3 linked regions of the Oreochromis niloticus genome follow. The main gene of each other region encodes a partner of the protein of the gene in region 2 in a complex. Links are inferred from orthologs where the notes say so. Each region holds a gene or a part of one and is shown on either strand. Other genes may lie near its edges. The genes, in order: ndufab1b, fdx2 and nfs1.

Region 1 (7,476 bases), on a different chromosome or scaffold from region 2:
ATACAGTCAAACACGAGACAGCTGAAGCCAACGTCGCCATAATGGACACAAGAGTTGATGAAGTAGGAAACTGTTTGGCGCCCATCTGCTTCACAAGAACTTCGTGTTGGGTGGGTGGGGTGGAGGTGACCCTATGTGGGCACAAAGGAATATAAATTGAGCCCCGACACAACAACATGTGACCAAAGACAGAAAACTGGGCCTGGTGGTGACTTGCCTCTGTGGTGTGCTACAGAGCAGATTACTCATAAACGTCTTTCTTGTCTGCGACGTACTGTACGATCTCCTCAGGAGTCATCAACTTCTCTGCTTCTGCATCTGGGATCTCAAAGCCTGCAGCACAAACAAGTTATTGGTTACGGCGTGTGCTAAAGAAGCCATGTGACATGCATCGATAATGCTGGACGAATAAGCGGCTTTCTGCACAGATGGTCGCAAACATCTCGCTGGTACTACGTCCTCACCTGTGGGGGTTATGGTCACACATTAAAAGCTGTTAGTCTGTTATCTTAAGAGTCACTGCACTGATGCACTAACTGATTAAAATAAGAAAAAAAAAGTCATTTGATTCTGATTTAAATTTTCTGCTAACTGCCAAAAATGACTCTAGAACCCTCTAAGAACCCTGTTCTCAGCATACTATAAATCCACCCAGGACAGAGTTTAGACAAAGGCTCTGAAAGGACTTCCTTTTACCTCTTGACCTGGCCTTGACCTTGTATGGAAGTGCATTAGCCCTGATGTACAGTTATCAAACCTACCATTTGACTAAGAAGTCACCACTGAGGCTCCTGTGTGCACTCATGCTAAATGGACTGATTCTTATAGAGCACTAACAGCACTTCATACAACACGTCTCATTCGCACTCCAATAAACACACTGAAGTTTCAGGTTCAGTATCTTGCCCCAAGATGCTTCGGATCAAACCACCAACCTTCTAATTTGCAGAATGGCTGCTCCATCTCCTCATCCCTGTTTACTATTTACTTCCCAAACAGATTATATAAATCAGCCATTTATCAAAAGTACAGATTCCTGATTCGTTTAAATCTGCAGAATTATTACAAGTCAAAAAGTAAAAAGCAACAAACTGCAACCTTCAATCACTTTCTAAATCAGTTTTCAAGATGAATCCAACAAATAAATACTGTAGAATGATGTGTACTACAGTGTTTCTACCACAGGATATACTCTGAGTAAATCTTGCTTTATGTGGGACGTCCACACAGAGCGCCACATTTACCCTCTGAAGACAAACTTGACAGCACTTTGACGCTCAACAGGTAGGAAGACTGCAAGACTGGTGTTTCATATCCACACATGCAGGCAAATCTAAGATTCCTATTCAATTACTTCCACTGTGGCAGTACAACAGCAGTCACATTCTGCACTGCACTGTAGGAGTCAGAAACATCTCTTTTGCTGACTTAATGCCTAGAGCCACAGTTTGGAATAGTTTTCTATGCAGTGTAAAGAGGTTTGCTCTCACCAAACTCATCTTCCATGGCCATGATGATCTCCACCTGGTCCAAGCTGTCCAAACCCAAATCTTTCATGAAGTGAGAGCTCGTCTGCAGCTGTGGAACAGAAACCAACCAGAGGGTTAGAAATTCAAGCTTACTTATACAGAAACTTGCAAACACTACAGGCATTTCAGGGTGCTTTACAAAATAAAACAAACCAAATCTACATGAGGAATGATAGTATTAATTTTAGATTATTTTTCCAAGTTAAAAATCTAATTTTTATTACATTTAATACATTAAAAACAGCAAACTTTTCAAAAACAATTTCCATGAGCCATTCTGGATAGGGATGAGTCGCGATTGCCTAATTTCACCTCACAGATACCTGTGAACGTGTTATATTCATACATCTTTCAGCTAGAATTCACTGAAGGTCTCTTGTTGTTCTCACCTTCTCTGGGTTGATCTTGTCGTAGAGCTTGAGTACATACATGACTCGTTCTTTGATGGTTTCTAGAGTGAGGGGGGGCAGGTCTCCGTACTGTCGACACAGCACACCCACCGAGGGGATCTAAGGATTGCAAAGAAGAAAAGGGAAGAAATTATTAGTGCAGAGGGGAGTGGGGGGTTGTGATCATGCAGCCTATACATTAGCTTGCCTCAAGTGAGAGTGTACTACATACAGTGTGAAAAGAAGCAATAACTTCGAGTACACTGTGCAACAGTACAGATGTAAAGGCTGGAAAAAGTTTATCCAAGTTTCAAAATAAAACTTAAATCTTACTTAACTTTGACCAAGAGGAAATCTGTGCTGCTTTTCAAGCTTTTAATGTGTGGCTGACTTTATTATCTCAACTGTAATTACTGCATTATGGTTTCATTTGACTAAATTTGCAATTAAACGCATTTATCAGCGCATTAGTGTTCACTTACAACGCTGCACACCCACTTCAGGTTGTGCACAGCTTGCTAAAACACCTGTAACATTATTCTAACAGTGTTATATAAACACACTTAACGTAATACATAATAACATCCGCACTGCAACAGTGCTTTACCTTGCTGCACATTAGTATCTGGTGTTTAGCCAGAATCAGTCGTGCAGTGCTAGGCTAGGTTAAAGAATGAAGTTGCAAGTGCAACAACACAAGTCTGTCAATGAAATCACCGACTTTGCTAACTAGCTAGCTAGCCAACAGGGAAAACATGGCTGTTCCGTTTTTAAAAGCAAACCCCTCCGTGTTTCGTGTTTCTCTGCCACAACAACACAGAGTCGTTCAAAGCGAAACAGGCTGCTCGTGTGACACCGTGAACTCTCAGCGGGCTAGGCTGGCCCCACAGCTCTGAAAGACATCGGTAGGTCACAGCGGCTAGGCCGCGATGGTTCAATGTTACCGGAGACTCACCCGGCTCTGGACGAGCCACCGCGTCCTCCGGCTGTCTGCAGCGAAGGAGAGAGGTCGGTGAACAGCCGCCGCCGGGGCGGCAGTAACTCTTAATGCGAGGTTATTGGAGCAAAGCCTCAGCGAGGGCCGAGCGAAGGAGCGGACACACTGCTGCAGGACACGAGCCGCCATGACGGAGAGCAGTTACTGGGAGCTACCAGCGTGCGAGGCGAAGAAGAAGAAAAGCGGGTCAAGGGCTTCGCGTTGCGCATGCGCACAGTGCAAACCTTGTGTTTATTTCTAATTTGTCGCTTTATCTGCGCTTTTTTTAAAATTTAAACCCCGTCCATTTCTCACCACGAGCACATGGGTACTGAGAACCTGCCAATGACTTTGATTTAACTGGAAAATAAAAATGTTAAAGAGCAAGGATTCAATCCAGGGAAGACTAATCGATCACAGAGTCGTTTTATGATTATCTAAATGAGTAAAACGACACTTGCTCCACTTCATATCTTCTTTTAATGTGGCAATAAAGTTTATTTTTCAAATAATTCATAAGATATATCCAGTAAAAAACCAAACAAACACCGGAGATGTTTACACACGACGTCGAATATTCCTGCACGTTTTGTGAGCTGCAGATGCACATCAGAGTGTATTTTGCACAATGATCTGGACAGATGTGGAGCATTATATTAGAGGGAAACCTAAAAAAATAATCTAACTTCGAAAAAAGGTCATCATAGTATGCTTTGAGAGTAATGATGTCCCTCTTGGGAGATTTTCACATTCATAAAACAAGACTTGGATTGTGCAAATGAAACAAAAACAAGTATCGAAGATGTTGCTTTCAGCTCTTTAGGTGTACAATAATACTGCTAAAATGAAGTTATGAAGTCTACAAAAATTAGATAATAAAAATGGACAACGACAAACTTTTAGGCTCAGTTTATCAGACATGGAAGCTCCCATGGAAGCTGTGTTTCTGTGTTTTTCCCTGTGTCGGCTTTTTCTCTGCCTCCTCTGGGAGTTTTGACTGCCTGATTGCTAGATCCAGGTAGCAGTGATGTCTCCAGGGTTTCAGGCAGATTACACTTCAGTTTGTAAGAGCCACAGCCCTTTTCATCTTCCTGTTTCTTCTACTTCCGTCCCACCTGCCTGAATAACATATCCTCTGACAAAAACCCTCGAGTGTCCAGAGTCTCTTCCTCTGCTCTTCCTCTCTCTGAAGGTCCCGGCTGTTTAAAAACACTCCTCCAGGATCTTGTTTTTAAGTTTCCTCATCACCGCTGCACCAGGGGCGGATCTAGAGAAATTTTCTTAGGGTGGCATGAGGGTGGCAAAGCAATCAAATAGGGTGGCAAAATCAAAGCCTTTTTTACCATACACATATGCAGGTGGTTACATATGGTTAAAATGATTCAAATGCAGTAAGTATACATGCTTTTCATATAAATATAGTCTATAACTTAATTATTGTCTGTAGCCCACATAATTAAACACTTTAGTTACATAAAACATGTGAGTTTTGATGCTATGTACTGTATAGCCTGTATAATAAATAAATATGTAGCCCAATAAGTATAAAATCCAGAAAGCTACACAACATGGGGCGGTACATTTACAAACACAAGTCTAACTTAAGTTTCACACTGTTTTTTGTTAGAAAACAATCACGTTGTTACATGCTTAAATTACACAAAATGTCAGAAATCTGCACTGTCATGAACAAAAATTTAAACCTAATTTTTCTTGATTTGTTGGATTAACCCACTGAGGTCTGAAATACAACCGGACATTTTTGACTCCTTTTGAGTTTACGTTCATATTTCACCCTCAAATTGTTTCATTTTATTTTTTCCCCTTGCCTTGTTTGGTATCATTCTTTTCAGCTCAGCTGAATTTGTCTGAATGTAGTTGTTTTTTTTCACTGACATACTGCATTAGTATTACTGATCTGAAATCACACAAAGAACTTAAAATCCTGGTAGTATTTTTTTACTGTAAAAAAACCCACAGACATGTTGAGTAAATTTTTATAACTTGAAATGCAAATATAAATTGTACATTTATAAACATATACAACTATTTATCTAAAAATGCAGCCAATACACCTGCTGGGTTTTTTTTTCCATTTTGTACAACCATTTAAAAATATTACTAAAACTAAAATGAGAGAACAATCAGGTGTCACAAATTATGTGTGGCAGTAAAAAAATGTTTTTCCACCAAAAGACAGAGGCGAACAGCACAGGGATAAACCTGCAGGCCTGACAACAGCAGGTGTATCACTCCGCTGGTTCTCTACTTATTGACAGTGTTTACATTGCAAATGTGCCTTTGTGACATTCATTAGTGCCATCACTGACACACAAAACAAAACGACTACACAACAGAACAACTACACAAGACAACACAACACACTAAGTATACACTCCACACTAAACGTCATAAATCTCCCACATCTAAACTCTCTCTTTCTCACTCGCTCGCTCTGTCTCGCTGCCGTTACCGTCACTCCCAAAACTTTCCCCTCTTCCTAAACAACCAAATCCCACATGTTGACTTTTTTCTAAATTGGTCTGCATGGTACATTTTTCCACCGATAGGAAAGAGGTGGCTTTTTTTCTTTCTTTACTGTTTTCGCGCTGTCCTTAGAAAACGCTTTAAAAAAAACATACACACAGAAAAAAACGTGATGACAGTATTTAGAAAAAAGCATGGCTTATGTATATTATCATAACTCTGGATTTACTGGGCTGTAATTAAAATTTAAAAACTTTGAAGTCCGAACTTTCAATATGGGCTGAAATAGAGACTCAGCGTGGCTGCAGCTTGTTGCTTAAATCAGTCATGTGATTTGGAGGTGCAGCGTGTCCGTGGACCACAGAGGGTTAATAACACTCATCTTCATTCCATTTCCAGAGTGTTACAACCAACTACCTGTGTGAAATCTGAAATCCCCATGGTGTTGTTCAAAATGTGCTCTGGAACAACCATAAGCATCACTTGCTACTGAAAACAAGAAAAAAGCCGGTCCTGCTATGGGCTGAACCATTTGTTAAAGGTGCGGGGGGGGTAACACTATGCAATATATTCAGTTTTAGCATTTATATTCACTGTTGACTGTAACTACGCTCAAAGTGTTAATGCTATCCTATTTTAATAAACAACACTGTCATATGCAAAACTGGGGTGCACTTGGGGTGGCAAGGGATCATTTTAGGGTGGCACTTCCCATGCCACCCTTCTAGAACCGCCCCTGCTGCACAGCGCATGTAGCTTTTCGGGCCACCACTTCAGTTAAACCCAGCTTAACCCTCAGTGTTTTTAGTCTCATTGGAGAAATCATAAAAAAAATCCCCGAACCTATCACAAAATATACAGACAGTTGTTGTTTATAAAAGCTTTTATTAGTAGTAGTAGTAGTAGTTTTTATTTATTTTTTAATCTTTACACATGAATATCTATTATGTCTGTTTTGTTTGTTTGTTTTTCTGTTCCTCGATTTCTCATGTTTTAAATAAAGTTATTTGATGGCGTCACGTCCGGGCTTGCGCAGAAGAGAAGCGTAGAAGGAGCTTCCCATAGAGAAAATCCGGATCGATGCTTTAGACAGTATCGCAGAATAATCATCGCTGTGTTTGATAGTTCAGCGGGTTTCCAGCCATGGAGTTGTCTGAAATACTGTACAACAAAGCGGAGTACATTGAGACGGTACTGTGTGGGATTTTAATCACCGCTGTTTAAGCTAACGTAGCCTGCTATCTGTCCAAGCAGAAAGTGAACGGGGCGTTGGGCGGAGAGCAGAGACGGTTGTTTGTGTTCATTTATGTGGACAGAAACAGATACGATCGTTCACACGATTATTAACCGTTGTTATTGTTCTATTTCAGGCTTCTGGCAACAAAGTGAGCAGACAGTCGGTACTATGTGGGAGTCAAAACATAGTCTTGAACGGCAAAGTAAGGAAAACACACACCTGGAAATGACACTGTGAATAGAGACTGTCCAGCTGTGCTAAAGCTTAGTCTTTGGATGTTCTCTCTTGCAGACTATTGTTATGAATGACTGCATCATCAGGGGGGACCTTGCTAACGTCAGGGTGGGCAGACACTGCGTGGTGAAAAGCCGGAGTGTTATTCGACCACCTTTCAAAAAGTTCAGCAAAGGGTAAAGTATCTTGGACACACGTTCAGGCCAGCCATCTGCTTTCATGTTCTAGATAAAGATGAAGATGCTTTGAGATTGTTTTTAATTATTGTCACTCAAGATATATTTAAAGTCACTGTACAAATGAATAAAGGAGAGAATATGGTAAGCAGAAAAAGCATATGTCTCATCACTGCCCTGTCGCCCCCTGCAGGGTGGCTTTCTTCCCGCTGCACATTGGAGACCACGTCTTCATCGAGGAGGACTGCGTGGTCAACGCAGCACAGATTGGTTCCTACGTCCACATTGGGAAGAACTGTGTCATAGTGAGTGAAATAAAATCTCACACACGCACACAGCTAGCTCCTCGGCAGTGAAAGGACATCGCTGTGAAGGGAGAGAATAAACAGAAAGCATGTCTTTATTGCCTGTGGTGAACCAGTCACATGGCAGTCATGCAACGTTCTGC
Region 2 (6,986 bases):
TTTCCTTTTTTTCTGACCATTTTCTGTAAACCCCAGAGACGGTTATGTGGGAAAATCCCAGTTTTTTTTCTTTAAACATTCAGACCAGCCTGTCTGGCACCAACAACAACCATGCCACATTCAGAATCGCTTAACTGATACTCAGTTTGAACTTCAGTGAGTGGCCTTCATCATGTCTACATGCCTAAAGGCACTGAGTTGCAGGTGATTGGATGATTCGAAATTTGCATTCAACAAACAAGTAGGCTGTTCATGTGTACCTAACAAAGTGTCCAGTGAGTGTATGTTATATAATAGGAGTTGTTTAAAGTTAAAAAGAGAGAGGGAATTCAATTTCAATTCAATTCAATTTTATTTATATAGCACCAGATCACAACAACAGTCTCCTCAAGGCGCTTCGCAGGGAAAAGCTGCATTGTGGTACGTTGGAGAGAGGTGGGGGGGTGGGGTGTCATTAACAAGGAAAAAGAACAGGGGAGTGCTGATAGGAGTAATTGAAAGCACCCAAAGGACTGCAGACAAAAAAATGTGATTTTCCATGTCCCTGGAAACATAAGCAGCACATATATATGCATACTGTAGTCCCTGGGGATTCACCAGGTCACTGCATAACTGCAAAATGTCTCTGCACTATTCATGATGTCTCTGCTTAACTCTGGGTTAGCAACATTTGTTAGGAGAGTTTTTTTTTTTAAATCCAAGGGTGTGTATTGTGTGTCCACATCATTTCTAAGAAGTGCTTTGTTTAAATATTACAGTTGTGAGTAGATTTAAAAAGTAAGAATGTGGGGGTGTTTGAGTTTTTGCATAGCGTAGTCATCACGAAGCAAAGAAAATGTAATCTTAAGGAACAGCTACAGGCCACCTAACTAACCAGGTCAAGCGTAAAGAAACTCCACCCAATACATGTCAATACACACTCAAAAACACGCACGTCACACACACACACACACACACACACACACACACACACCTTCAAAACCTCGGGACAAAAGATGTAGGTTGTAAACTGACAGACTTCTCAGACACACATATAAACTGTCCTTTGACAATAGTACTATGCAGGTGTGTGTGTGTGTGTGTGTGTGTGTGTGTGGTGCATGTGTGCGTGAGTACACACATGAAAGTGTAACAGTGTTTCATTATGTGAATTTAGAGTACATAAAAAGTTATAATCTATATGCCAGCGAGTTGAGTGCCAGGGCTTACTATAAAATAAAGGGAAAAAAGCAGACAGAGGTCCCCATTTACTTTTTATAGCCATCCACACGGGAGGAACCTCCACAGCCAGAACCAGATGGGGGGTTTAGTGTGCATCTTAAACCCACTTTAAGTGTCTGCTTTTCCCCAAACCATAGTTCATTATGACACAGTGAAGGAAAGATAAGAAGTGAAGCAAGACTTCTAGTGATATCACGCAGAATGAGCTCATCGTTTTTTATTATAGGATCCCTGAGGCCAATAAATTACACCTCAAGTATCAACGCAGCGCTTTTCTGCAAAAGGGTTACATGCTTAATAGCAGCTGACTTTTTGCTCGGGTGGAAGTTGAGCACAAGAGACAGAGCAAGAGAGAAACAGAGCGGCTGAGCCTTTAACCTGCCTGTAGTCATAACATCACGTCTTTGTCTTTACACACAGTGGTCTCAGTCATACAGGGTCCTGCTGCCAGCCTGCATCATGTCTTATCTAAGATTGCCTTCAGCACATGCAGAACAGGGCAAAACATGAATTTATTGTTGTGTACCGTGGGGCATTCACAGAGGAAAGCACTGGGGCAATACTGTCTAATACTTCTGAAATATAACCTGCTTCCTTAATCAGAAGCATATAATTTTAACAGGCTTAGACTAGTCAAAGCTGCAGCTGTGTTGCGTAAGTATGTTATTTAAAATTTCTTCTTTTAAACAGTTTGAAATGTACTGCCATATTTTTTTTACATTAAGACATTATTTATATTATAACACTGAAGCATGTTTTGCACTTGTATGTGCTTATAGCTCCTAAGTGTATGGTAAATGTATTACTACCAGACATTTTGTTTAAATAGAAGGTAAAATAAAAAACCTTTATAGTCTATAATAACTTAGGTGTGCTGGTGCCTAATGGAGGCAACCTAATCTTGCTGTTTGTACTGAGTTCAGTCTATTCTTTTTTTTAACTGTTATTTAGATTTCAATTTATACTGAGTCTCCTGTGGTTAAATGTAATCTCGAACACGTCATCAATGATCTTTTTAAGGTATTAGTTCTTCAGTATTGTCTTTCTATGCTAGTTTATACAACTGTATAAAAGTCTTTGGCTATGACTCAGTTGAAAGCCAGTACTTGTTGAATATCTATTGAAACATTTGAAAACATAAATGAAAATAGAGTATATATGCAAAAAGATAGATAGTAAAAGTCTAAGGAGCTTGAAAGTCAGTATTAGGTATTATCACCTTTATTTCTGAACATGGCCTGTACTCTCATAGGCAAGCTTTCTTATACTTTCTTTAAGTAGTCTTCAGGAATAGTTATCCAGGCTTCTTGTAGTAAATTCAGAGCTCTTCTTTGGATGTTGGCTGCCTTTTGTTCTGTTCTCTGTAAAGATGATCCCACGCTGCTTTAATAATGTTGAGGTCCGGGCTCTGGGGAGAGGCAGGGTAAGAAGCAGGATACACCTTGGATGGGTCTCCAGTCTGTTGTTCGAAAACCATTCGCACTCACATTCACTAATTAAACTAATCCCACTGACTGCATGCATTGAGACTGTGGGAAAAAGCCAGAGTACCCACGCACACATGTGGAGAACATGCTGAAGGTCAGTGGATTTAAACCCAGGACCTTCTTGCTATGATGACTCAGTGCTAACCACCACACCACTGTGCTCCCATGTTCCATTGTGTGAGCGTGTGTGTTTTGCTTTCTGTCCCAGTTTGCTTTTACTGGACTGACAGAATGTTTGGAATCATTTTCATATAAAAAAAATATTATATTGGCTCTCAGATCCTTCCCAGATGGTTTTGCATGGTGGATCAAATTATTAATTTTTTTTTTTTTCTTTTTTTGCATTCAGAATTCTATCAGCTTTGACATTTAGCCTCAGACTATGACCGTCTCCACTGTGCTTTACAGATGGCTGTAGATACTTTATATCCTATATACATGTCAAATTCAGATTCATCATTCCATAAGACCTGTTCCCGTCTCAGCCTTTTCTCCCTGTTTCCCTTCCTTAGCTATCGCGTCTTCACATCCACCCTTTCACTAAGACCATTTCTGTTGAGGCTGAATTAAACAGCAAATGCAGAGGAGCAAGATGCATCTCTCAGGTCCTGTATCAGGTCTGTGCTGGATCTTCTGCTCTTTCTTAAGTACATGACTTTCAGATACTGTTCATCTTTTTTTATCATTCACTTGTGCAGTTTCCTCATTTTACGGAATTACATGAAAATCTACCCGTGTGAAAGTAAAATATAAATAAAGGAGGGATGGCTCGAGACTTTTTCATGGTGCTGTACTTCAGTACAAATTCATGTGGTACTTACTTACATACGTACTTCAATTTCTAAAATATATGAGAGCTTTGTGTGCTGACTTTTTTTAGTAAGCTGTATCATGAAATTATTCATATGTGCAACCTGTTAAACATATAAGCAGTGAAAAGAAAGTTCAAAAAAATGCAGCATTTACATATTAATACAGCAACACTAATGACTATCATAGACAGTCCCTCTCACAGGCTCCTTTCAACATAATGAGCTCTGCCACTTTTAGTAATTTCACAAAATTTTATCGTATAAGTTCATTTAGGTCCACGTGTGAACGTTTGTAACACAGACATAATCGGCCTTCTCTCACGTGCAGCTGGTGACGCAGGGGCACCCTCTGCTGTCAGAGAAACTCCTCACAGCAGAAATGTCCCCGCTCCGTTACTCGTTTCCTATTGGCTGCGTGCAGTCATGTGACCAAAACAGTCATGGCGGCCTCTGCTGCAGTCCGGTCGAGCATGGGACTGACTTTGAGGCTTTCTCGAGTTATCCCGGACTGTAGCACGTGTCCACTGTTCAGGTTAAAGTGTAATGCGAAAAATGCGGCTAATTTACAAAGGAAGGGGTCCTTTGATAGTTTCCGGACGATAAACCGACACTTACAGACGAGTATAGGTGAGTGGTGCAGCCTGCTAACATTTAGCCTAAAGCCGGTTTTCCTGTCAGGACTGTTTGTTTACGATAAGTCTGAATAGGTACTTATAATTTTTCTTCTTGGTGGAGTTTCAGTCATCGGCGATGCCAGGCAAGTTAGGCATTGCAGGAAGTCTGTAAAATTAGCAGTAATCTGCCTGGAAAGTCGGTTCAATAACACTTGTGTAACTTCGTTTCAGCATTCCCAGTTAGGGATGGTAAACTTCTGAAACTTGGGTGCAACAAGTAAATCAGCCCCATTATCAAAGTGGAGGAGCTGATGTCACCTTTGAATACTCTCACAGTAATGATGGCTGTGTTGCTCTTTCCTCAGGTCTTTACCACAGTGAGGAGGGGAGCTCCAATGCAGAGGACCCTGAGGATGTGTAAGTCAGCTGAGGCTTTTATTGTGAAATAACAGGGTACGGTGAACTGCACATAACTGGATGCATCGTAATACTTTTAATAAGAATTGTTATCACAGCTACTTCTGTCAAAAACTAAAGCCGAAGTTGCACGTAAGTGTAAATGGACAAATTAAAATAACTCACAACCAAAGCAGCGGCTGGATCCAGTTTAAAAGCACCCTAAACCACCACAGAGTGCTTATGCAAATCATTAATTTGAGAGCACATACTTAAAAATAAGCAGACCTCTTGTTGCATTTAAAGTTCTTTTTATTTAAAAATAAATAAAATACCAGATAAGCTTAAAAAATAGACCTCTGATACTTATTAGATAAAATTATTTATAGATTTTCAGACTTCATTATTTGTATATATTTTGTATATTATAAGTTGAGAATGGTGGAATAAACACTTGAATTATGGCCAAACACACATAAATGTCTGTTTCTTTAAAAAAACAAAAAACAAATTTTCTTTAAAAGCTCATCTAATCTTGAATGCATCACAGATGTGAGATATTGTATCACCTGTTTGTTTGTTGCTTTTAATAGTTTGATGTCTTCTGTTCAGTGTCAACGTGGTGTATATAGATCGGTCAGGCCAGAGGATCCCCGTGAAAGCTAAAGTGGGAGACAATGTCCTCTACCTGGCTCACAAGCATGGCATTGACCTGGAAGGTGAGGATCATTACAGATGAACTTTAGATGAACACCATTATCCTTGCACCATTGTCATTGAGATATTTGTGTCTTGGAATATTTAGGAGCCTGTGAAGCGTCTCTTGCTTGCTCAACATGTCATGTTTATGTGAGTGCTGCTCATTTTGACAAACTGCCAGAACCTGAAGAGAGGTAGGACTGCTACCAGTGCCATCTTATTTGACCATGTCACATTAAGTTTGGCAAATCTATGTGATGCAGTTTGAAAAAAAAAAAAATCATTATTATTGACATATATATCCATTCATAGGGAGGATGACATGCTTGACATGGCGCCGATGCTGCAGGAGAACTCCAGGCTGGGATGCCAGATCATTCTCACTCCGGAGCTTGATGGGATTGAACTAACCTTGCCCAAAGTCACCCGGAACTTCTATGTGGATGGCCATGTTCCCAAACCTCACTGAGAAGTGAAATAGAGGGTGAAGATGGGGTGTGGAGAAAAACTGGAGCTTTTAGCTTGGCGCTAGGCACCATGTGTACTGGTTGAGTTTGGGAGGGGGGGGGGCAACCATGGAAAAGGCATGACAAGGATAGAAAAGTCCATAGCAACTCCCAAGATGTCTTAACAACTGACTAATTCTACAGTTAACCACTGACAGGACAGTCCCTGCAGATGAGATCAGGCAGAGTCAGACACTACATCTCACAGTAGGTGATGTTACTTGGAAAAAAAACAAACTTTAAAAAACAAAAAGATGTTTAACAAATCCTGTATTTTTTGTTTTGTTTTGGGGGGTTTGTGGCACGTTCTCAGGCCAGCTTTATGACACCATTCAATCAAACTGTTCTTTTTTTGGAAAAAAAAAAGAGAACTGCAGGGGAAGACTTTATTTAACAGAGTTAAATCTTTCTGCTGATTAATGGAACATTCCTTGTTACAGCTCAAATACGCACAAGTATCACAAGATTGTCATTATCGTTTTGGCTAGTCCATTATTATCACTCTTGTCAGGTATTATATGCATAGCATTTACTTTTGTATGCACCATGCTCATTTATACATTTTTGTGTCTATGATGTAGAAGTACATTCTCACTGCCACGATCATCCTATTCTGCAAGACAGAAAAAAGCCATAAACAGTCATGTTTGCCTGATTCTTAAACACGGGCTCCTAAGAAATCAAAGCAGAATTTATACTATTGAAACTTATTTTGTATTTGCTCCAAACATTTCAGAAACATTCATGTGAATTGCATTTCAGATAAAAAGGTGTTTTAAAGCATTTCTTTGTAACTGTCAGTGATTAAGGCTTGATTAGAGGATCTGGTCCAGCTGGTTCCATAGCAGGATGGTGGAAATGGAAGTAGGACTGCATGGAAGCTGGTGATCTTCATGTTACCATAGTTTAAGTTTACCACATCTACCTTTTACTCAAGTCTACTGTACTTGTCCAACTTGCGCACAAGTGAATTGTGTATTTTATGTCTGATGAAATACAAATATTTTAAGTTGTGCAATAAAATCTGTTTAAAAAGATATTTTGAATAGTGCACTCACTACCTGGGGGCCTGGGCCTTCATAAAAAGGTCATTGTGCCCCCTCACCTGAATTCTACTAATGAACAACTTGAAACATTTGCGTCACTGAGGTTATTGCAGCCCAAGCTGAAGTTAATTGGTTAAATGAAGCTCAGTGCTTCTGCAGCAGTTGCAGAAAATGGCATGACTGGGGGGGATACTGAGGTTGGAGT
Region 3 (6,999 bases), on a different chromosome or scaffold from region 2:
CTTTTTCCTGTCAGCTGACTTATTTGCCTAATGTGCACAGTAAAGTTCTTTTAATTAAATGTTCTCAACGTGATTGACAAATTCCATTTTTATCACAAGTTTTTGCATTTTAATATTGTACAGTTTGATTCAGAAGAAGGATCCAAATCATTAACAATACAAAGAGTTTTGTTAATGACAGCTTTGTTTTAAGGAGTTTTATTAATCAGTTCACATTCTAAGTTTGCTCTAACTGTTTTATGTGTTTTCATGGTTTTGTTCATATCTTCTTTTTTATTTCTCATGTAGTTTATCACTTTGTTTTTTACAGTGTTCTTATTTTGTAAGAGTTGTATTTTTAATCTGTTGTCCGCATTTTATATTTTTGATCAGTTTTCACCAAAACAAAACCTGTGCGTGTTTGTGTGAGAGAAAGTGATTAAGGTCAAGAGAGTAGGACCTTGATAGCCATGTTGTTGGACTCTGTGGCTCCGCTGGTGAAGACGATCTCCCTGGGATCGGCTCCAATCAGATCAGCCACCTGCTGCTCAGAGAGCAAGAAAAAACCCCAAAAAACCTCACCAAACAGATTCACTCACATGTTTCTAATCTGATTTTTCCATAATAGATCTGGCCCACTTTTATGAGTTCATCAATAAGCCTTGGCCGCTCACGACCGTGTTGCTGGTTCATCACCGTTCCTTCCTTGTACCACTTCTGAAAGATACTGATGACTGGGAACACCTCACAAGAGTTGCAGTTCTGGTGATGCTCTAACTCAGCCCCAGTGGCCATCACAATTTGGCCATTGAGAAATTTGCTCAAATTCTTATGCGTGGCCATTTTTCCTGATTTAACCCATAAACTTTGAGGACAAAATGCTCACTTGCTCCCTAATATATTCCATTCACTAACAGCTGCCATGATGAAGACAAACTTCACCTGTCAGTGGACATAATACCTGTTCAGTGTGTGTGTGTGTGTGTGTGTGTGCGCATGCATATATACATACAGTCAGTCAGTGACTCTCAGTGAAATCTGAATTCAAACATTCAGCATCAGCGCTCCATTTTGGTGTGTTCACTAGCTTGCATGAGGCCTACGTCTCTTTGCATACCACAGCTACAACTGAGCAAGCCAAAGTGATATATGGACCAGATTTAAACTAGCCAAGGGCCATATCTGGGCTGTGCTTATTTACACTTTTCTAAAGATGGAGCAGCTCTCTACCTTCCTAGCGGTCTCCATGGCAGATTCACTCTCCCAGCCGTAGGCATGCGTTCTGGAGTGAGGGTTACCGTAGTAATTCACCTGGTATGGCAACATGGCATCCAGCACCCGGGGATCCTAAAGACACACACAAACATATGAAACTCTAAGTACAACCAGCTTTATGTCCAACTCTCTCTGACATCAGCTGTAGAAGCCTGTAAAAGTGAGAAAACGCTTAGTAAGAGTTACCATGGGAGTGGTTGCCTGGAAGTCCATGTAGAGGGGGCGAAGCTCATCCTGTTCATGTTTCTTGATCAACTCTGCAGCATAAAGTACAGTATATTTAAGACATTTAAAGCCATTTTTAAGACCACATTAAATTTATTAATGTAAAAAAAAAAAAAAAACAGCATTTAAATTGTGAAATCAATGGGAAAACTGTTAAGACAATATGGCCTTGAATTATTTTTTATTCACCTTGACCTAGGTAACTGGCAGTAAATTGATAAATGGATTAGCTAAACACTAAAAAAATGTTTAATGTTTAAATGTTTATTTAGAAGTTCATAAATCAGTAAAGTCACAAGCTGTTCATTACATTTAAAAGTCAATGTGATTTTTCCACTTTTTAAAAAAAACTAAACAAGGAAACTCAATTCAGTGTTTTATGAGACTTAAAGATCTGCCTGAAAAGAGCATTTTACTAAGTGTTTAATCAGATCTGGAATAACATACTGGGTCATAAATCTGTACCAGGCAGGAGGTCATCAATTAGTTAAATTCATCATCAATTGTGCCTTTACAGCCAAACAAAAATTAAAAACTCAGATAAAAATTTTTTTTAAAACCCTGACTCAGTGTCAAGGCATATTTGTATGGAATATGTAATAGTAGCATTTTGCTTTGTGCTTATTTTATATTTAAAATAAAGAACGTGGGACTGGTCTTTATTCTGCCTCATTTAATAAGTAGAACAACAATCTTCCCATTAGTCTTATGAATTAACTAATGAACTAATGACCACAAATGAATAGATTAATTAATTTTCACTTCTCTAGACTGACTCATCTGTGTGGAGACAATGAGCACAAATTTCGGCCTGACTCCATATTTTTAACGCATTTTTGTATAAAATACATTAAAAAAATGTTGTCAATCTGGCAATGAAGTCAAGAGTAACGTGCCAGATTTTAACATTATAAAAATGGAGAGTGAGACAGAGAATATCAGAACATAAATTAAAATCTTTTTTAAACAGTTATTTAACAAGATTGCTTCATCTTGTGCCAGTCAGCTAGTTCTCGTGAACTTCCCGTTTTTTAGTGTTTTAATTTAGTATGTTTTAGGTTTTCCTGACCTCACAGGCATTTTAAAGTGGTCAGTTAACCTGACAGTTTACAGATGCTGTGAAGTTTCCTGCCTCCTTACTAAACTGCGTCACTTTGGGATTAGCTTCGTGCTAGTTGGTCTTGGGGGGATAAGCTACCCAGTTTGCTCCGGGCTGTTGTTACCTTTCTGCGGGGAGCTAGCGGCCGTCCGCTCGGAGCTCAGCCGGAGAGGAAGCCACGCGGTTGGCCTCAGCAGCCGGGAGGACACGGTCCTACCCGAGGCAAGCATCTTGTCAGTGGACTGGCTTAACTGGAAAGCCGCTGACCTCCGTCAAAAACAGCACGCTGTTCGTAATATGAACACCAGCAAAACAGAAAACTTGGCACAGACCAGTTTAACCCACTGGTTCCTCGACAAGAAAATTAAAAAAATATATCACTACTTAAACATGAGGTTAAATTTGAGTGAAGTTCGGTGATGTTGCCGCCTGTCTGTTACGTCCAGGTATAAACACAAACGTCAAGATGAATACGTAACACGAACACTTCCGTGTGAGACTTTCAAATTAAAAGCTTTTCACAACCATCGCATTGATAACCATTGCTTTTGTTCATATAAAATGGATTATTTTCTGAAAAAATAAATAATATGCACATATATTTGGATACTTATCAGTCGGATTGATAGCTATTTTTGTCCTCTGATTGTCAAGGGGAGAGAAAAAAAACAACAACAGATAAATAAATGCAAGTAACAATGTAAAAACAATATCATAGAATTGGACTAGGGTCACCAGTAATGATGTCTTGGACTTTACAGGGTAAAAACTTCAGGTTTCTGTTAATTAATTTAAGTAAGATAATGGAAGATGTTCTTTATCACAAAAACTTGGGAGTCCTGGTGTTATAGCAGCCAAAACAAATTATGCAATACATTTAAAAAATCCCATTATTTTAACTTTAAGCTTCCGCCTCTTTACAGTGTCTTCACTCGGTTACTTTGATAGCTTGACGCAGCTCGATGTCGATGCTGTTTCATGGTTGCACAAGAAACGGAAATAGGAGGCGGGAGTTCCTGTGAACATTCGCCACTCTGATTCGTTAATTTTCTGTGTTTTGGTACCGCTTCTGCTTTCTGGTTGGCTAAAGCAACGAGTTTGTGCAATGTGGTTTCAGTATGTTTCAGCATCTTATGAGTACACTACTTTTAAATAATCTATTTTTGCTTCAGTAAAATTTTGGGGGAAAGTGTTGTACTGTATAACTATTTGTGTATATTTCAGGAGTAAGACTTTATGCTTAACAGTGTAAAAGTACAAAGACAAGAACAATCTTGCTAGCAGTGGTTCGCACTGTTTCCTCACAGCATAGAAGGTCCTGAGTTCACTTCCACCATCAGGAGTTTTTACATCTTCTCCCCTGTTTGCGTTGGTTCTCTCGGGCTTCTTCCTACAGTCCGAAGACGTTGGGTGAGGTTAATTGGTGATTCCAAAATTGCCCATAGGTGAATGTGAGTGCGAATCGTTTTCTGTCTCTATGTTTTAGCCCTGCGACAGACTGGCGACCTGTCCAGGGTGTACCCCGCCTCTCGCCCTAAGACAGCTGGGATAGACTCCAGCGACCTCGAAGAGAATGGATGGATAATGCAATATTTAAATTCAGACCCAAACTCCATACCAGCTGGTGGCGCTTTTTTGATGTTCGCCCAATACAGAAGAAGAAAAGGTAGAAGCGGAAGAGAAGCCGAATGTAGCTCATTAGCTACCTAGCTAGGTCACTTTTAAAAACTCTATTTATATATTATTTTTAAAAACACCGGAGATGGAAGATTAAACCTTTTGAGCGGTGGATCTCGCTTTGAGGTGAGTTTGAGGTTTCTGCTCGTAATGTGAAAGCTCGCAGAGACGAGCTAATCTGTCAGTATGCTGCTGTTGGCAGGACGGTAAAAACGTTTTGGGGTTTTGTTTTTATTCGTATCAAATAATATAATGGGTTTATGCTTCTGTCAAATTAACGAATAAATTAGGTAGTGTTATATTTAACATTTACATGCGTTTTCTGGTCGTAGCAGCTGCACTGATCGTAGTTATTAAAGATGAAGAGGAGAGAAAACTAGTTTCCTGAACGTTAGACGCCAACATGAGCGTCAATGCCTACTTGTTATTTACAACGACGAGTAAAAAGCAGAACTAAACACTGTGGGGATTTAACTCCCGAGTCTGAGTCTGATATCACGTTCGCATTGAAACTGAATTTGTATTGGAATATGTAATAGTAGCTTATCGTTCTTGTTTTCGTATAGATATTATTATGGAACATAAGTAAGTGAGAAATATTTATCAGTTTACCTACACTGGACAGTCTGTGTGGAGACAGGGTCCACTAATTTTACCTTGATCCCCATATTTTGCAGCGTACCGTGCTGTGATTTCCCCCTCCCTGATTTTTTTTTTTCCTTTTTGATGTGTGTATGTGTTTTACTTTATTTTTAAATTTGTTACATAAATTTTAATATTAAAAAAATGAAACCCAAGTCAATAAAACATGCAGTTTTTAAATGATGGTTTAATTTACAAACTGAAAAAAGCTACACAAACCTGCTCGACCCTGTGTGAAAAAGTAATTGGCCCTAAAGCTGATTGGTTTTGCCATTCTTGGCAGCAAGAGCTGCAGTCAAGCATTTGTGATGACTGGCAATGAGTGTTTCACATCACTGTGGCCCACCCTTATTGACAGAATTGTTTTAATTCTGGATTTTTAAGCACAAAAAGCCTTTTTAAGGTCATGCCAAAACATTTTAATCGGATTTAAGCCTGGACTTTGCCTAGGATACTTCAAAACCTTTATATTGTTTTTTGTTTTGTTTCTTTGAGCCATTTGGTGGCATGCTTCTAATTATCGTCCTGCTCCACAAGTGCAAGTCTCGGATTCCAGCTTTGATACTGTGGCTATCTGGTAATGTTTCTGTTATAATGTTACTTTCTGGATGCTTGTTTTATGTATGTGGGGTGCATCGTATGCAAGCCATTGCTTTGGCCTGCACCCTTTCTTTTGGAAAGAACCACTTGTTTCATTATGATCAGATAGCAATAAACAAACAAACAAATACATAGGTTCTCTTCACTATTTACTTATTTAGATGTTCGAAACCAAGCTCAAGTACATAACTGATCTGTGAACAGGACTTTAGAGATCATATACCCTTCATTTGAAATGAAGGGTAAAAGAAGTACTTGTCCCTGTGGGGTTTTTAATTCTTGCTGTCAGAAAAAAGAAGTTCTAAAATTATACATGCAGCATTCTTAACGGGCATTTTTGGAGTGCTGCATATGTAAATGTTGCCACCAACCTCATGTTATCAGAACAGGGCTGTTTTGCAAAGTTATCTGTAACTGATGCCAAAGTCCATGTAGAACTGACACAAGAGAATATGGCCCACAGATGATCTCAACCTAGCTTCTTAAAAATTAATAAAAGCTGTGGCTTGGTCAGAGTGTGTGCATTTTTATGTGAAAGGAGGTGCATCCCCATTTTCTTTAAGTTTATTAATAAATGCTACTCTATAGTAGTTTTTGGCTCTAATTAACAGAGCAGGTATCAGACATCTCTTCATTGAGTTTTTCATCTGCTGGAAGGATTCTAGCTCTCCTATCTTGGGCTGCAGCTGGTTGTCCTTGTTCTCCTCTGCAGCTTTGGTGATGTCAGCATAGCGACACATCAACCAGTTCTCCACATGCTGCAGATTACTGTTAGCATGAGCCTCCAGTTTGCAGCAGATCTCCAATGCAGAACAAGAACTGCTGTCTAAGCATTGTAGTTGGACTCCGTTGAAGCCCAGATTGAGATCCCGGGACTCTAATTTTTGCCCTAAGCAATTGCACAGAGTACAAGATGAGACTTGTACTGGACCTTTTGAGAGTCCTGCAGAGCTGATCTAATAAGTCAAATAATAATTTGCAACTGTGCATGAAGATAATAAATCCGCCGTATTAATCTCACAAATCAAGATGGTAGTAGGGATGATATTGTAATATATGTTTTAGTTATGAAAGCCAGAAATTCATTTGAAAGGTTTGTGACAGTGTCTGGAAGAACAAACTTGTTTGTGTGAGTGGCCAAGAGGGCAATGGAGGAAACTTTCAACCACATTCAGATTAAACATAGAAGTATTTCCACATTATCTGCACCTTCAGTGATGGTAACTTGCTAGTGCTGAAAGCTGTGACATGTCAGCTGACCCCTTGGTTGATTTCACAGGTGACGCCATGCTCCAAGAGCCTTTAGCAACTGAAAATCGACACGTTTGACTAAGAAGCTGTCGCCACTGCCGCCATCATGGGGACAACGATGAGCGAGCCGTGTATTTATGATAAACTGTCCGAGAGCATCGACATCCTCCGTCAGTCGGGTTACCGCTATGGAATGTCGGAGAGGGAGATCGAGAGGTTCATCAAGCAGGTCCTGGAGACCAACGAGCCCA

Evidence for each region.
Region 1: fdx2 (region 2) and ndufab1b share a complex: the UniProt entries of both Homo sapiens proteins name them as parts of the mitochondrial core iron-sulfur cluster (ISC) complex. The link is inferred for Oreochromis niloticus from reciprocal best matches to the Homo sapiens genes FDX2 and NDUFAB1.
Region 3: the proteins of fdx2 (region 2) and nfs1 are in contact, whole or in part, in a cryo-EM structure (PDB 8RMC), measured with the Homo sapiens proteins. The link is inferred for Oreochromis niloticus from reciprocal best matches to the Homo sapiens genes FDX2 and NFS1. Residues at the interface, in NP_001384335.1 of Homo sapiens: Ala104, Cys105, Glu106, Ala110, Cys111, Pro141, Leu142, Ile169, Thr170, Arg171, Asn172, Phe173, Tyr174, Val175, Asp176, His178, Lys181; in NP_066923.3 of Homo sapiens: Gln153, Lys157, Leu160, Asp161, Arg164, Ala168, Tyr175, Ala384, Ser385, Leu386, Glu387, Pro388, Tyr390, Arg393, Gln456, His457.

Annotation. Positions count from the first base shown.
Region 1 is NC_031969.2:12,086,677-12,094,152, reverse strand, and holds the start of ndufab1b (NADH:ubiquinone oxidoreductase subunit AB1b), read right to left. Parts: upstream 3,103-7,476; 5' UTR 3,045-3,102; coding exon 2,874-3,044; intron 2,039-2,873; coding exon 1,919-2,038; intron 1,579-1,918; coding exon 1,491-1,578; intron 334-1,490; coding exon 242-333; 3' UTR 218-241; intron 132-217; 3' UTR 1-131. Other genes in the region: dctn5 (dynactin subunit 5), read left to right, coding at 6,525-6,572, 6,752-6,820, 6,910-7,028, 7,222-7,333. UniProt on the Homo sapiens protein: Carrier of the growing fatty acid chain in fatty acid biosynthesis.
Region 2 is NC_031971.2:24,686,183-24,693,168, forward strand, and holds fdx2 (ferredoxin-2, mitochondrial), read left to right. Parts: upstream 1-3,908; 5' UTR 3,909-3,960; coding exon 3,961-4,147; intron 4,148-4,499; coding exon 4,500-4,551; intron 4,552-5,142; coding exon 5,143-5,249; intron 5,250-5,335; coding exon 5,336-5,423; intron 5,424-5,541; coding exon 5,542-5,698; 3' UTR 5,699-6,772; downstream 6,773-6,986. UniProt on the Homo sapiens protein: Electron donor, of the core iron-sulfur cluster (ISC) assembly complex, that acts to reduce the persulfide into sulfide during [2Fe-2S] clusters assembly on the scaffolding protein ISCU.
Region 3 is NC_031970.2:12,150,773-12,157,771, forward strand, and holds the start of nfs1 (cysteine desulfurase), read right to left. Parts: upstream 3,050-6,999; 5' UTR 2,809-3,049; coding exon 2,703-2,808; intron 1,512-2,702; coding exon 1,441-1,511; intron 1,327-1,440; coding exon 1,210-1,326; intron 524-1,209; coding exon 440-523; intron 1-439. Other genes in the region: lg5h6orf89 (bombesin receptor-activated protein C6orf89 homolog), read left to right, coding at 6,855-6,999.